2 linked regions of the Kluyveromyces lactis genome follow. The protein of the gene in region 1 interacts with the protein of each later gene in a pairwise test. Links are inferred from orthologs where the notes say so. Each region holds a gene or a part of one and is shown in the gene's direction. Other genes may lie near its edges.

Evidence for each region.
Region 2: the proteins of AIP1 (region 1) and COF1 interact in a two-hybrid assay, tested with the Saccharomyces cerevisiae proteins (2 studies listed by BioGRID). The link is inferred for Kluyveromyces lactis from reciprocal best matches to the Saccharomyces cerevisiae genes AIP1 and COF1.

What each region holds. Positions count from the first base shown.
Region 1 is NC_006042.1:1,270,595-1,278,962, reverse strand, and holds AIP1 (Aip1p), read left to right. Parts: upstream 1-2,990; coding exon 2,991-4,853; downstream 4,854-8,368. Other genes in the region: SLD2 (Sld2p), read left to right, coding at 1-719; snoRNA-binding rRNA-processing protein UTP15, read right to left, coding at 869-2,431; NPL6 (Npl6p), read left to right, coding at 5,204-6,466; m-AAA protease subunit YTA12, read left to right, coding at 6,885-8,368.
Region 2 is NC_006041.1:31,606-39,211, reverse strand, and holds COF1 (cofilin), read left to right. Parts: upstream 1-3,547; coding exon 3,548-3,561; intron 3,562-4,081; coding exon 4,082-4,499; downstream 4,500-7,606. Other genes in the region: KLLA0_E00529g (uncharacterized protein), read left to right, coding at 1-39; MUP3 (Mup3p), read right to left, coding at 136-1,743; KLLA0_E00485g (uncharacterized protein), read right to left, coding at 2,584-3,129; EFM1 (protein-lysine N-methyltransferase), read right to left, coding at 5,012-6,688. UniProt on the Saccharomyces cerevisiae protein: Controls reversibly actin polymerization and depolymerization in a pH-sensitive manner. It has the ability to bind G- and F-actin in a 1:1 ratio of cofilin to actin. Binding to F-actin is regulated by tropomyosin.

The sequences.
Region 1 (8,368 bases):
AATTGAACTTCTCAATAACGCCGAACTCTTCTCCAATGAAGCAAGTTCCAAATCTATCTGCGAATATTGTTGTGTCAAGACCGAAATATGGACCAAACTCCCCAATGCGGATCGGCGATATTGGATTGCAGTTGTCAGAAACACCAAAGACGCTTGGTAGAACCCTGGATTTGAAAAGTTCTCCCTTCAGCCCATCGCCGCTGATTAAAAGGCCGGTGAAGACACTGTCCCAATTAGCGAAGGAACATGCCATTATAAAAGACGAATTCGAATCTAACCCAGAAGATTTCAGCGAATTCACTGCGATTAGAACGCTTATGGAAAAGCTGATGCAGGAAGAACATATGGATATAATTGAAGAGGGGGACGAGGGAACTGTCGGCAATGAAACTGAGAGCAATTATGTGCGGAAAGTTAAAACCATAAAGAAAAGAACAAAAGCGAAGATGAGACCAGCAGCATTAAACGAGAAGTCGACCAACATTCCAGACAAAAATGTTCATGAACAGCTAGCAAAGTTGAAGGAACGTGAGTACAATAAAATGCTGGGTAAAGAAGTGGAAGAAAGTGAGTCTGACTCTGAACAACAATCCAATCCACCCGTAAAGAAGAAGCAACGTAAGAGTAAATACAACCTTGTTAGCAACAACTTCAAGCGTTTGAATCTTCCAACAAAGGCAGGAAGAAACAGAGCCAGTAAATGGAGAGGAAGAAGGTGATTTCTTCAAAGTCAGAACGTTAAAAACAAAGAAACAGACGTAACGAACGGGATGATACAGTTGTTGCAGTCTATGTACTATAAATGTAAATAAATATAATCTTTTACACGCATTCCTTTTTGTTATAGATCAGTGTAGAAAGGATTTTATCAGTTTGTTAACAATTGGAGCATACCCTCTATCTTTTGTGCTTCTTTTGCTTTGCGGATCTCTTCCCTTACTCTTTTCTTTAGAGTGATTACCATCTCTTCAAGTACTGGGGACTTCTCCAGTACACTACCGTAGAGTTCAATTACAACCGCAATCCAGTCTGCAACAATTGGTGCACTTCTAACATCTTCTATTCCCTTCAAGCACCAGTTGAGTAGTGGTTCTAGAGAACTTTCGTCTCTACCGTATAATGCAACCTTGATTTTACCTCTTTTCCTTAGTTCTTGTAATACCGTTAAAGTTAATTCTTTAGCCATACCGGGGATAAATGCAGAATCTAATGCGTCAGACCATTTGAATTGGTTGATATGCCTTTCGAATTGACGCAACTTACGCTGAGGATTTGGCTTATCGTTGTGTATAATATGCTCTTGATCACCTCTGTATTCGGACCCTCTCATCATTCTCTGGAAATTGTTGGATTTCGCAGACTTCTCTTGCTGTTGTAATGGTAAATCCTCCAAATCAGAGACATCAGCGAGGTTAATCTTTTTGGACTTCTTCTTCGTCTTGATGGCTAGAATTCCTGAGGATAAACCTGCAACGAAATGTTTATTACCTTGCGCATCGCCTGGTGAGACTGCACAACTTAGCACAGCGTTGCTAAACTTCCAGCCAAACTTGAATTGGAAGTTCTCCAACGGGGAAAAGATCTTAACATGACCATCAAGCGAGGATGCAACTAGTACGGAACTCATTGGTGATTCTTCTCCCATATTTGTGTAATTCAAACAGGTGACCGTCTTTGCGAAATTTTGACGTTCACAAAGGGCTCTATCGCTAGTCAAGTCCCATACTTTGAACCCGTTACCACCACACGATGCAAGCTGAGTAGGAGATATGGCTGTGATATCTTCCACAGGAAGACCGTGATCCAAAGTTGTCTGTGGTTTATCTGATTTCGTTCTAATATCGTACAATCTAACTACTCCATCGTACGACCCTGTAGCGACCATATGTGGAGCATTTGGCACAAAGCAGACTGATCTAACATAATCAGATGCTCCAGTTAACTGTAAAGTGGGTTCATAAGCATGAGAAACATCCCATAGTCTCACTACTCTATCGTCGTTTGCCGTCACCAAAGTCTTGTTATCCTGATCGTGAAACTTCGTCACATGCGTAGGATGCGACGAAGCTTGTATAGAAAGCAACAAAGTACGTGGATTATAACTATCATAAACGGACACTAACCCAGTAGCGTCACCTGCTACTAAAAGTTTACCGTCTTGACGGAAAGTGGCCGAATGCACCACATCTTTAAACCTAGAAAACGTCTTGATCACTTGTCTTGTCCTTGACGAGAAGACCTGTACCCTAGTAGAAGAGGTAACTGCAAAATCATGTGGATGCTGGGGATTGAAGGCAATATGAGTCACTGCATTGTGCTCTTTAACAAGCTGAGTAGATGAATAAGACCTCCAGTACCTCTGCTCTGGGGTGGTCTGCTTTGGTAACACAGGAGCCTTTACCGGCGTCACTCTAGGTCTCACAGACGACATTTTCTTCACAATATTTCTACCAATCTGATCGCCTGAATCACCTCTATCACTTAACAGTAGTCTGACGATACCAAACCGACTGATATAACTCGCAAATTACAGGGAAATCTATTTTATCAACCATGCGATGAGCTAAGGCTTCAATCATTTTTTTTTTCCAAAATCTGGTTTCTTTTCTTTGAAGACTCGAAGAATCTCGTTGATTGTGATTTTTCAGAGAAGAATAACCGTTCACTGTACTTTACAAGCAGATAAAGGGCCTTTAAGGCCCTTTATCTGCTTTTAACCTGGTTTCCCAGATTTTCTTGATTCCCAGGTATTCAGCAATACCACTTTCATTATACTAACTGGTATTTAGGATATCTTTTCTTTGTATTTCTGCATCCCAGTAGTTATTATTTCGTCTATTTACATTCCATATGTATGGAATTTATTTATACTCACCAGTTTATCAAGAAACTAAACCATGAGAACAGGACACGTTTGAGTCAGGAAGAGGTCTTTCTGGTGCGTTTACAGAGTGTTCCAAAAGTCAATTGATCTAGTATCTCGCGATAATATGGTTTCGATTAATTTAGCAAAGGTTTTTGCACCTCTCCCTTCTACAAAGAGAAACTTTACGACACATTTATCATATGATCCAAAGACTGACAGTTTAGCTTATGGTAGCGGTAGATCTGCCATCATTAGATCTTTAGATGGTGAACATGTCGTTCAATTCAATGGCCATGGTACCAGTAATGTCACTGTTGTAAAATTTTCTCCTATCCAGGGGTCTCAATATGTTGCTTCAGGAGATGATTCCGGTAGAGTTATCGTTTGGTCTTGGAATCAGGACGATAAGTCTGGAGAAATTGAGTACAACGTTAAGTCGGAACTACATGTGCTCGCTGGTCCTGTCGCTGATATATCCTGGGATTTTGAGGGTAAAAGATTGGCTGTTGTTGGTGAAGGTCGTGATAGGTTTGGTGCGTTTGTCTCTTGGGACTCGGGCAACTCGTTAGGTGAAGTCTCGGGTCACTCTCAAAGAGTCAATGCAGTTCATTTCAAGCAAAGCAGACCAATGAGAGCTTTCAGTGTCAGTGATGATGGTTCTGTTGTGTTTTACCAGGGTCCACCTTTCAAGTTTGCAAGCAGTGATAGAACGCATCACGGCCAAGGTAAATTCGTTAGAGACGTCAAGTTCTCTCCAGGTGCAGGGAAATATGCTGTGTCTGTCGGTAGCGATCGTAAGATATGTTGCTTTGATGGTAAGACTGGTGAATTTATCAAATACATTGAGTCTGAAAAGGCTCCAATTGGCGGTGGTTTGTTTGCTGTCGCATGGTTAGACGATGGTGAAGAGTCTTCTAGAGTTGTTACCGTGGGTGCTGATTGCACTGCAAGGTTGTGGGATGTGTCGTTGGATGATCCATTCCAACAGTCTTGGAAATTAGGTGCAGATGTTTCGAATCAAATTGTCGGTGTTGTTGTCACTAAGGATAACTCCATCGTAACATTGACGCTTGATGGGACCTTGAGCATTTTGTCTCTAAATGATCATACCATCAAATTCATTCATGGTCACAACAAGGGGATTACTTCTTTGGCGGTAAACCCATTAGTGTCTGGGTCATACGATGGTAGAGTTGTTACCTGGAATTCAGAAGGTGACGAAGTCAATGCTATTAGCCATGATATTCATGGTAATCTCGTATTGGCCATCGATAACTCTGATAACGAGGTATCGAGTGTTTCTTGGGACGAAACGTTGAAGAATTTCATCGATGGTGAAAAAGCGCTTGCTGAAACGAAGTACCAATTCTCAGAGCAACCTAAATGTGCGGTTTTCTCTCATAACACTTTGGCTGTTGCTACAAACACTAACGAATTGTTGATCATCGATAACAAGAGTGGGCTATTATCGAAATCGATAACTCTAGATAAACCTGTCGGGGCCCTCGCATTGGGAACTACTTTCGTGGCAGTGGCATACGAACAAACCAACTCCGTGCAGCTATTCAAAATTTCTGACCTATCAGATGCATTCACGTTGGCCACTCCATTACGTGCCACTCCATCTGCTCTTTCCTTCTCTCCATCACAAAAGTACTTGGCTGCCGGTGACGTGTCCGGTAAGATTATCCTATATGATCTTGACACGAAGGACGTCAAGACCTCGAGATGGTCATTCCACACAAGCAGAATTACATCCATTGACTGGAGACCTTCTGCAAATGATGATGATTTGGAGGAAGATTATGTTGTCACTGGCTCTCTGGACACCAACATCTTCATCTACTCTGTTAACAAACCTATGAAAGTGATAAAAAGATTAAACGCACAAAAGGACGGTGTGTCCAGTGTACTATGGGAAAACGATTCCACTATCGTCAGCGCCGGTGTGGACGCCTGTATCAAGAGGTGGACCGTCGAGTTTTGAATGAGACACATTTTTTACCAGTAACACATAAAAGTATTTAACAGTTAGTTAACGTACGAAATATAAGACAATGAATAACAATAGGAGGATCAGATGTTGCATCAAGGCCCCCCCCCCCAGAAATATCTAGAGCTTCTAGTAAAGCCGTTGAAGTTGTTCTTTCTTCTTTATCATCTCATACGTTTTGATGTTTCTCTTGAACATTGAACAGATTCCTGCCTCTCAAAGCTTATATATAAACAAACAAGATCAACAAAGCTCGGTTGAAAGCGGATATACGCATAACATTCCTTAGTAATTCTGTATTTGGAATCACCAATCAAGAAGCTTGAGTTTCTCCTATATCAGATATGGCAGCAGCAGGAAGAGGCAGGAAGAGCTCGAGGGTTTCTCGCTCAGCTAACAAAGCAACCAGCTATAAAATCGATACAGACGAGTTAGACATTGAAGATGATGAAAAGGATCAAGAGTACCCTGGACCAGCCAATGATGATGATTACGATGATGACCCAGATGCTGATATCGAAAACGAGGGTAAACCATCTCGTTCCAAGCGCAAGGCCGCTTCGAGCACACCTGTTCCAGTGGTACTAGCGACAAGAGGAAGGCCTTCAAAGAGGAAAAGAGAAGAAGATTTGAACGATCCCTTAAGACAGAAACTACCGTACCCAGTGGACGAAAACGGGTCTCCATACCCAATTGTGAATGACGAGTATTCATTACCTGAGGATCCAGAGGGTGAAACCAAGATCACCAAGAATGGTGATCTTCTAGAGGGAAGACAATTTGTAGTCAGAACTTTCACGGTACCTTCCAGAGGTGAAGTTAAATACATGCTTTCTACTGAGCCAGCCCGTGCCGTTGGGTTCAGAGACTCATACTTGTTCTTCCAGTACCATCCAAACCTATACAAATTGATTATCTCGCAATCAGAGAGAGACGATCTCATCAAAAATGGTGTATTGCCCTATTCGTACAGAAACAGAATCATTGCGCTAGTTACTGCAAGGAGTGTGTTCCGAGAATTCGGAGCCAAGGTTGTTGTAGATGGTAAAAACATCACGGATGATTATTACGCCGGTAAGCTTCGTGCATCCGGGAAGGTGAAAGAGGGTACCCCAGCAAGAGAAACATCACACACAAGTGTCACTGGAAGAAATACCCTTGGAATAGACATTCCGCAACAATTATCCGTCAACCCATCCAAAAATGCAGTAGAATTCTTTGACAAGAGAAATCACAACATCCCGGCAACAAGCAATATCTCATCTACGAACTGGCTCTATCATCATGCTGCTGCATGCAGTAGATTCAACAGTGATCTTTTCTACGATAGAGAACGCATTCTTCTCATCGAAAACCTCGGACTAAGAGATACGTACACGAACGTCTTACATATACCACAATCCACACAATCGACGAGAGTGATATCAGTGAAGAAAGTGAAAGGAAACACAAGCCAAGTTATGTACGAAACAAGAATCAAAGCTCTTGACCTAGCAAGACCTTGCACCGGTCTTTCTGACGTCCCTACATCGATGTACGAAGACATCTTGGACGAAGATATAGTCGCTGCTATAGAAGAACAAAAGAGATTCGAAACAAGCCTATAACATAGCTGAACTGACCTCCCATGTATACGTGTATATCTCAACATACGTAATAAGAGTGTATTATACTAAGTGGCCGGGTAACGATATGTCCTTGCTCTACCAAAAATGAATTTGGGCTTTTCAACCAGAACAACCCCATAAGGTGAACAGACAAGGCCATTTGCCACCGATAAAAGGAGCGTTAGCAGTTACATTTGCAATCTACAGTGGTTGCATTGTGAATTTAAGACCCTATAGTAGTGTAAAATAGCCAGGTGTTTGTTGAAACGGCTGTTTTTGTCTCGGTTTGTTTCGGTGTTAACAAAGATTTTCCACTGGTTTTAAATTCGAAAAGTCCTGTTAGGTAAACGGTATAGCAATCAGACTCGGCTAACCGTAGCAGCGACGTGGTGGTTTTATTACATTGAAGTGACTTGCAATGTTCCATTTAATAAGGCCGGTATCTAGGCTTGGCGTAAAGTCTGTGGCCAGTAGGGCGTTGTACAAAGTTCCAAAGGGGCGTTCGCTGATATTGTTACGAAACGACGTATGCCGTACGTTCCATTCCGGTAAGCTCAACTTGATGCAGAATCGGTTTGAAAAGGAGCCTACGGATGAAGACGTTGATAAAGTCAGGAAAGAAGTTAGAAAGTTTATCGATGATTTGAACAAAGATCAGAAACTCGATATGGAAGAGCGTAAGAAGAAGATTGAAGAGCAATTACAGAGGTTGGAGCTTGCTGTGAAGAGGCAGCAGGAAAAAGAAGATGCCCAAGATAAAGCGAATGATCCTTTCCATCTAGAGCGCGAGAAGAGAGAATTTGAAGAATCGGCGAAGAAGCATGATCCCAAGAATGATCCCAAGAATGAGTCTAAGAAGAGTTCCAACGGAAATACGGATTTCACACCAAATGATTCGAATATGATGACTGTTAACATCAATTTATTCAAAGTTGGTTTGACATTGACGATATTAGCATTTATCCTACACAGATTGAACAGCATGGAGGAACAAAGAGAACTTACATGGCAAGAATTCCGTAACCAGTTGTTGGTGAAAGGGTACGTGTCCAAATTAATTGTTATCAATAATAATCTAGTCAAGGTTATCTTGAACGATAACGGGAAAAATCAACCTGAACATATGGGCCACGATTTTTATTTCTTTACGATCGGATCCGTGGAATCATTTGAACATAAATTGAAGAAAGCACAAGATGAATTGAATATCGCGGAAGACTTTAGAATTCCTGTTCTTTACACTAGAGAGGGGAATTGGGTCAAATTAGCTTTCCAAATATTACCAACTGCACTATTGATTGCAGGTTTGATTTGGATTACTACAAAGGGTGCATCCGCTGCCGGTGGTGGCCCAGGTGGTTTATTCAACGTGCGTAAATCAAAGGCCAGAAAGTTTAATAAAGATACCGACGTAAAGGTCAATTTCAAGGATGTTGCTGGTTGCGATGAAGCCAAGGAAGAAATCATGGAATTCGTTAGTTTCTTGAAAGAACCATCCAGATACGAAAGAATGGGTGCCAAGATTCCAAGAGGTGCAATCCTATCTGGTCCTCCCGGTACTGGTAAGACTTTGCTAGCAAAGGCTACTGCTGGTGAAGCTGGTGTTCCATTCTATTCTGTGTCTGGTTCCGAATTCGTAGAAATGTTTGTCGGTGTTGGTGCGTCCAGAGTCCGTGATTTGTTCAAGACCGCTAGAGAAAATGCTCCAGCTATTATCTTTGTTGATGAAATCGACGCTATCGGTAAGGCAAGACAAAAGGGTAACTTCTCTGGTGCCAATGACGAAAGAGAAAACACTTTGAACCAACTTTTGGTTGAGATGGACGGATTTACTACTGCAGATCATGTTGTTGTCCTTGCAGGTACCAATAGGCCAGATGTTCTAGATCAGGCTTTGATGAG
Region 2 (7,606 bases), on another chromosome or scaffold:
GCCAAAGAATCATTTGTCAAAAAGCTCAATGCAAATTGAGAAGTATTATTTAATCGGGAGTAGTAATAATTCAATATATAATAGTCGCAGAAAAGTTTTAAACATTTTATTATTCTTCAGCAAATTTCCTGAGTTCTATTCTACAGGATGTCTCCTCCAGTCCACAACTGTTAGTCCGTCATTTTGTACAACAACAGTGCTTCTAAGAGTGTATTTAAACAATCTGGGAAGCAATACAAACTTCATGAACCAGAAGCCCACGGAAAGTGCGAATAGGAAAATAGCTGCGTACTGATAAGAGGGAAACTTCCCAACAGAGTTGCCGGTTCCATTACCAAAAAATGGACCAACACTCAAGTATACGGAGAGAAGCAGAAAGGCGACCACCCCCACAATTGGTGTTCTCGAAGGAAATTGGTATCTTTTTAGACGTTCTCTCCTGACGAGTAATCCAGCAGCAACTAAAAGTAACATTATTTGATTCCCATATCCCTCAAAATTGATCAAGTAATCGAAAGCAGCTCCTGTCCCTGGAAGTAGATATAGCCAAAAAGAACTGACTATGCCGCAAATTAACAAAGAGGGAAGTGGGGAATTACAAGGCCAATTTCTGGCCAATTGTGCAGAAAAAGGAAACAGACCCTCTCTAAATATTTCCTGATTCATTCTAGAAATACCATACACAGTAACAAAAAGGTTCGATATTGCAGAAAGGATTATGGAGATATTAATGAATTGTGCTCCCACGGCTTTTCCGAAAATCTTAGAAAATAAAACAGATCCGAGCAAAGGTCCAGCATTCTTGATCTCCTCATAAGTGAGCACCTTTATGTATGCAATATTCAGAGAAAGGTAGCATATTAGAGCCATCAGAAGCGAAAGAGGTCCAGCCAATTTCAATGTCCTGTTAGGATCCTTGATCTCGGAGGTAACGGTGTGAACAGTATCCCATCCAGCGAAACAATAAAAGCACTGGATAAACGCAGAAGTCAATGATGCACTACTGATCGCTTCAGAGCTTTGCACAGCAGCACTAAATAATAGCGACGGCTGGGTTATGTCATAAGAAGCATTATGATAAAATAGTGTCACATACATTCCTGCTAAGGACATTAGGAGCACAATGACCAATTTTATAATCCCCAAAATATTCTGAATGATGAGGCCATGGTTAAGAGAGAGACCATGCACAAACACTATAACCATAATAGCAGCTATTCCAATATAGTTAGAAGCATACGACTCCTTGTTAACAAAGTCTTCACCATAACCTAAGGCGTATAATATATACTTTCCTAATATCATCGCAGGCGACATAGCAAAACAAGTCATTAGACAATATGTGCATAAAATAACTGTCGTCATCATTGGCGGCTTATCGTATAAAAATTCAAGGAAATTTTTTCTTCCGCCACTTTTTGGCAAGATAGTGCCTAGCTCCAAAAACATTGACATACCGATAAAAGCCATCACTGCAGCACACAACCAAACGAATAGAAACAGGCTCACATTCCCACCGCAATTCACGAAAACACTGCTGGGAACAGAATAGATACCGCCACCAACTATCCTTGACACAAAGAGAATAACAGTAGAAAAAATTCCAAGGTGCCTCCCCTGAGGTACTTCGTTATCTGATATCAAGGATGACACATTCTTACTTAGATCTTCAGTGGAATCCCTCTCCGACTCTATTATATATAGAGGGGCTTTTGAACCCTCTATCAAGTGTGTATCCTCCATACAGCAGATGTTCTCGTTGGATCATAACAGTGTATAGGCATTTTATCTCAGCTGTGTATATCAACTTAATGACAAGGAACCTTAATTTTATTTTACATCCTCCTTCTCATTGATAAAAGATGCTGATCGCGTTCTCTTTTTTTTTTTAATGCGGTTCTGATATGTATGCATGCAACCAAAAAAAACTAGGCGAGAGAAAGCTTGTGTGGCATCGAAGGATTCGAGTCACGTGGAGGAAATTCATAACCCCTAGCGGGTCTATTCGGAGATGCTATTGTTAATTAGCTGTTTAATCAATTATGTGGATGTATGCACCTGGTGTCTTATGATAGGACAGTAAGGTCGATCATACATTAGATATAGTGTCTACATGTTTAGGAGAGTTTCACATCCATAACACAGAGAGACCAGGATTACATCGTACTGATACCTAGCGTCAACAGTACCGAGACAGTACCGAGATTCACTCGGTCACATTTCACATACTGGTCGAACAGATAAACACATAATCTGGACTGTACAACTATACGACAAGAGCAACCAAAGTAGTCCGCAATTCGAAAGGATGATGATTTTTGAAATGAGCAGTGAGGTATACTCAATGTATGCACTGATGGAAGTGCTGATTCCACCCTTACCTAAAAAAAGTAACAGAAATTGGCCTAACATCTCAATTAGAGGTCACCCTGATAGAAATGGAGTGATCACCATTCTAATAGCCGCCTTCATGAGTAATATTCTGTATTTTTCAAGTGTAGAATCGGTCTGTAGTTTAGCACTGTGATGGAAAACGAAGCACAATAGGAATTTAATAGTGTTGGGTATGATTTAGTACAAACGCTATATTGAAACCTCGCTTTCACTACACCGTAGAATCCCATGCAACCTATTAAGTCTGCTCTCAACGTCAAGAATCATTTCTTCCTGTTGAGTTGATAAGCAAATAAACCGATTTATCACTAGAAAAGATTTCAGGACCAGCTGAATCACAGTTCTCGTTACATTGTGCAGCTGTGTCAATTCCAGAACACAGTCAGGGATTCGTGATCCAAACGAACCAAGGGTTAGATCCAGACTTTCAGTGAGTTTTGTGTCGAGATTCATTAACATATCTAACATTTTCAAGAGTTCCGAATGATGAGCTTCAAACCATACTTGAGCTTCGTTAGCGCCAAGATGAGAATTATTGCCGAACGCTATTAGATACCGGTGCATCTCCTTCAGGTTTTTATCACCATTCTTCAGGATTAGCTGCGAATTTTTTTGTAATTCAGCTAAGGCTCCCCTTATCCTCATATCATTGATGGAATATTCTCCTAATGTGAGTTCAAGGGTGTTGACTCGATCAACAAGTCGATTGATCAACACCACAGTGTCAGGTATCATTGTATAATATACTAATTAAAACAGATCTACCGACCCTCGGGAAAAGAAAACAGTCTAGAGCTTACGGGCATTAATATGTAAGAAAATTGAAGGATATGGAGTTGCAAACACACACATGATTGAAACCTACAAAATACTTAGTTTCACCGTGAAAGGCAATGTTTCTATAGTATTTTCCACAGAAAAGCATTGAAGTGTGCATTCTTATTGTTTCGTACATTACGATCACAAGGGAGGTTTACATTTCCCAAAAAACTTAAAAAAAATAGTGATCTTATAATTTCACCATTGAATTGACAGAACCTACATGACTTTTGCCGTTAGCAGAATTGAATGGGATTTTTTTTAGATTCCTTCTCATTATTCTCCTTTATTTCTCTATTACAGTGTACCACAGCCAATTATAAGTATCCACAAGATGTCCAGATCAGGGTATGTGTAAAAGCCATATTATAAAGTATAGGGGTAATTTTGAGAGAAGGTCTTTACTTAATATATTAAGGACCACATATGTGTTAAAAACAAAAACAAACATTGAAAAAAGCCCAATCCTTAACCGATGCACACATAAGTAGCAATTGGGTATAAGATTATAGGGTGCCTGGCGTGAAATCAAATATTAAAGGTATCTACCGTTCCTGATATTTTTTTTGAATGTTTGTTTCTGTTGATTAATCTGCCTTGTTTTATCTCCACCCTTATAATGGCAGTTTATAACAATTGTCGCCGCATACTTCCAGCTAATTGCAAACGAGTTTACTAACACGAGTTTAAAACATGATCTTTTTCTTATCCTCTTTTGTTTCTTTGGTTGAAGAACACACGATACCACCAACTTTCCCTATGATGGAATTGGTACCTGATTAATTGAATATTCAGATATTGTGCTATCTTGAACAACCAAAGATCTAAAAGGAAAGTAGGGATTGTATTAAAAACGAATTCATAACAGTGTTGCCGTAGCAGATGAGTCTTTGAACGCTTTCAATGATTTGAAATTGGGAAAGAAGTACAAATTCATTTTGTATGCTTTGAACGACAGCAAAACTGAAATTATTGTGAAGGAAACTTCTGCTGAACAAGATTACGATAAGTTTTTGGAGCAATTGCCAGAGAACGACTGTTTGTACGCAGTTTACGATTTTGAATATGAACTGGGTAACAACGAAGGTAAGAGATCTAAGATTGTTTTCTTCACTTGGTCCCCAGATACTGCTCCTGTGAGAAGCAAGATGGTTTATGCTTCTTCTAAGGACGCATTGAGAAGAGCTTTGAATGGTGTTTCCTCTGATATTCAAGGTACCGATTTCTCTGAAGTCGCTTACGAGTCTGTCTTGGAAAAGGTTAGCAGAGCTGCTGGCTCCCACTAAATTCATCAAGAAATGAAAGTATGCTATATTTTACCCAGAATCAATTATAAAAGATAATGCTTGTTCCTGTACTATTAATATGATAGTATAGTTATCTAATATTTTATATTAAAATTGAAATACCACTTTTCTTTCTATTAACCTCATGTTGATATTCGTTATAGTTTTATGGTTGTTCTCTAACTAGTGGAAAGTTTTTCGCGCCTTAATAAAAGAATCCAAACAAAATCTCTTATTAAGCAGAATTCAAAGATGCAATGCTTATAAACGGACCACGAAGAACAATGAAGTTGTGAGAAGGACAAAATTGAGGGATGGACTTTCTGAAAAATGAACCAGTAGTAAATTAAAGGGCCCTTGACAGCACTTGACTAATCCAAGTAACTGAATGAAATGAATTCGACGATATATCAAGTGAAGATGAGCATTAGTTAGTCAGTGGTATAGGTATCCAGGCTACTGACATAAAAGCCTCAGCGTATTGGATTGGTACTACGCCACTCTTACTGCTGTTAGGAATAGGATCTTTTGAAATCAAATGTTTGCTTTTCGAATAGGAAATATTCATTGCTTGCCATTCTCAACCATACAATACGGTCCATCACCACACCAGCGATAATGAAGTCCTTTATGGACCAACTTCCTACACTGTACACTTTAGGAAACATCTGTGAGAGATTAGGGAAAAACGCTTGGTAAAATTGCATGTATTCTAAGACATCGTCCTTTTCGATCGTGATATTGCGCTCGACATCATTAAAGGTATCGCTAACGAATGAAGGCGAGTGGGGACTTTTATAAAACTTAGCATTGTGAGCTTTGACAATCCAGAGTAAAAGTGCATGTTGAGCAAGACCTTTCTTGACAAGCTCTTCATAGGATGAGACGTTTAAACATGACGATAAACTGCTCGAAAACTCAGGGTCAAGCTTGTAGATAGATTTGAAAGACACTGGTTTATAAATCTTCATAATAGCTTTCATTTCCCTTTGCAGTTCTTCCTGAGAGGAATGAAAAAGCCTTCGCTGTCCTGTTAAGTAAATTTTTGCATTCTTTATGATCGATTCGTTCCGGATATTATGCGATTCGAATTTGGTCTTAGCTTTGAAAATAGCTATCTTTTGATGTAATAAAGCATACAGTTGATCTAGACCTTCAAGCACGGCACGTACAGTAATGTTTTTCTCTGATTTTAGTTTTGAGATAAATCCAAAGAGCTTAATTAACGGAACTGGAAGTGGATCTTTCAATGAAATATCGAATCTAACGGAATCACCAGATACGTTGTTCGGGTTGATTTCAGTACCGTAATTTGATGCTTCAGATAGTGTTTTTTCATCTAGTTTCAAAGATATAGACGTGGCATCATGTGGGTTGGAATCAATTGCAAAACCGTATCCGAGCAAAAGCTCCTCGTTTGATTTATCACCATAATTGTTATACAATTCACCCTTGGCTTCAATTATTTCCTCGGAACTAAATGTTATAAAGGAACCTTCTGACTTCCAGTGTACCTTCGTGTCACTTTTGTGATTTAAAAGATCGACGATTGGGAGAAGAAAGCCCTCCTCCAAACCCGCTGAATTATCATAAATTATGGATGGAAAAGCCCTCGAAGAAAATATCAAATGCGCCCACAGATAGGCAGCAAAAGAATCCACTGAATAGCATTTCTCAACAGCTATATTGTCTCTATCTTGAAGTTCATAGTACTTCTTCGCTTTTTCACTGCACAAATTCAGTTCCGTTAAAATCTCATACCATTCGTCTAGCAAAGAGGCAAGCTTCCGTTTGGTTTTTATGTATAGGTCAGAACCACGAATTATTTCTAGTTCATGCGGCTGCCATACTAAAGGGCTCGAAATATCGTCCAAAGATGGCAATACGTCCAAATAAGGTTGCCATTTCGCTGACTGATTGGACTGCAATGCGATTAAATACAACTGAGTAATCGCGTTAGGGTTTGATGAAGAACAACTATCAATTTCAAAGTATTGAAGCGCTTCAGCCTTAGTTAAAATGAAATCTTGAGATATCTTTATGAGGGCTTCCTTATTATGTAGCTTATGCTTCAAGTATGCACCTACACCAGTCACCGGGTCAATTCGAAACTCTAGATCATCACTGATTTCACAATTATTCTTCTTTGCATGGACCAACAATCTTTCAAGAGCTGCTTCTTTAACCATGATGTATTACTACTCAAAGAGATTCGATGGATTTACTGGGAGAGTTTCGGTATGGCAATATCTTTGCTGCCCAGCGTTTATTTACAAAGATGGTCTAAGAATGCCAATTCTTTTTTTTCATTTCTGTATCAGTGCGAATTTCCTATGAAAATCAAGGAGATCATAAGGAGTACATGTGCATCATCGGAAAACACATTATCAATCTTTATTGTTTTATTAGACTCTGTTATAGGATTTGGAGGAGTCATTATTTTTGGTTTAACGGAACATGGTGAAGTATTTCTCCCAGTATTTAAATGCAAGAACAGTACTTACCGGGCATTTCTTCCTTCTATTGAGTTTGGTCGATGTGCGTCAAATTCTTTCTGATTGTCACGTTAAAGCTCCGCGGAAAAGAGAACATACTCTTCATATCATATGTGAGCTTTTGCACATGAAAGTGTGGTTTCAAATCAGTAAGTTGTTTTTGTAGGTTAAAAAGCTCAACTTTTACATTTGGCATTTGAGCTTGCTACAGACATTCATTGATTATGTATTGGCCTGAACTATGTCCCGAGACCTTGTAAGATCCCCACTTACAGTTCTTTCTTTAAGACCTTTTCTATTGGTAACATGAGCTAAATTCCAAGGTGACAGATGATCTTTATGGTTGATTTCAAGTCGCCATATAGAGACATGCTACAGTTTATTTTATAAAGTCAAGGCGTGCGTAAAGTCCGCTTTCAAACGAATCCTTTTCTTTTCCTTTTTTAGATGTTATAGCGTTATTACCGCTGTTGCGGTTGCTCACTGCACTCTATCAAAATGCTTTCCAAAAATCGTACCTTAGATCTTTATTTGAATCTAAAAAAAAATAAAGTTTAGTAATTGAGTAGTATCCTTTTCATAGCGATTAATTGCTATAAAGATAAATCCACT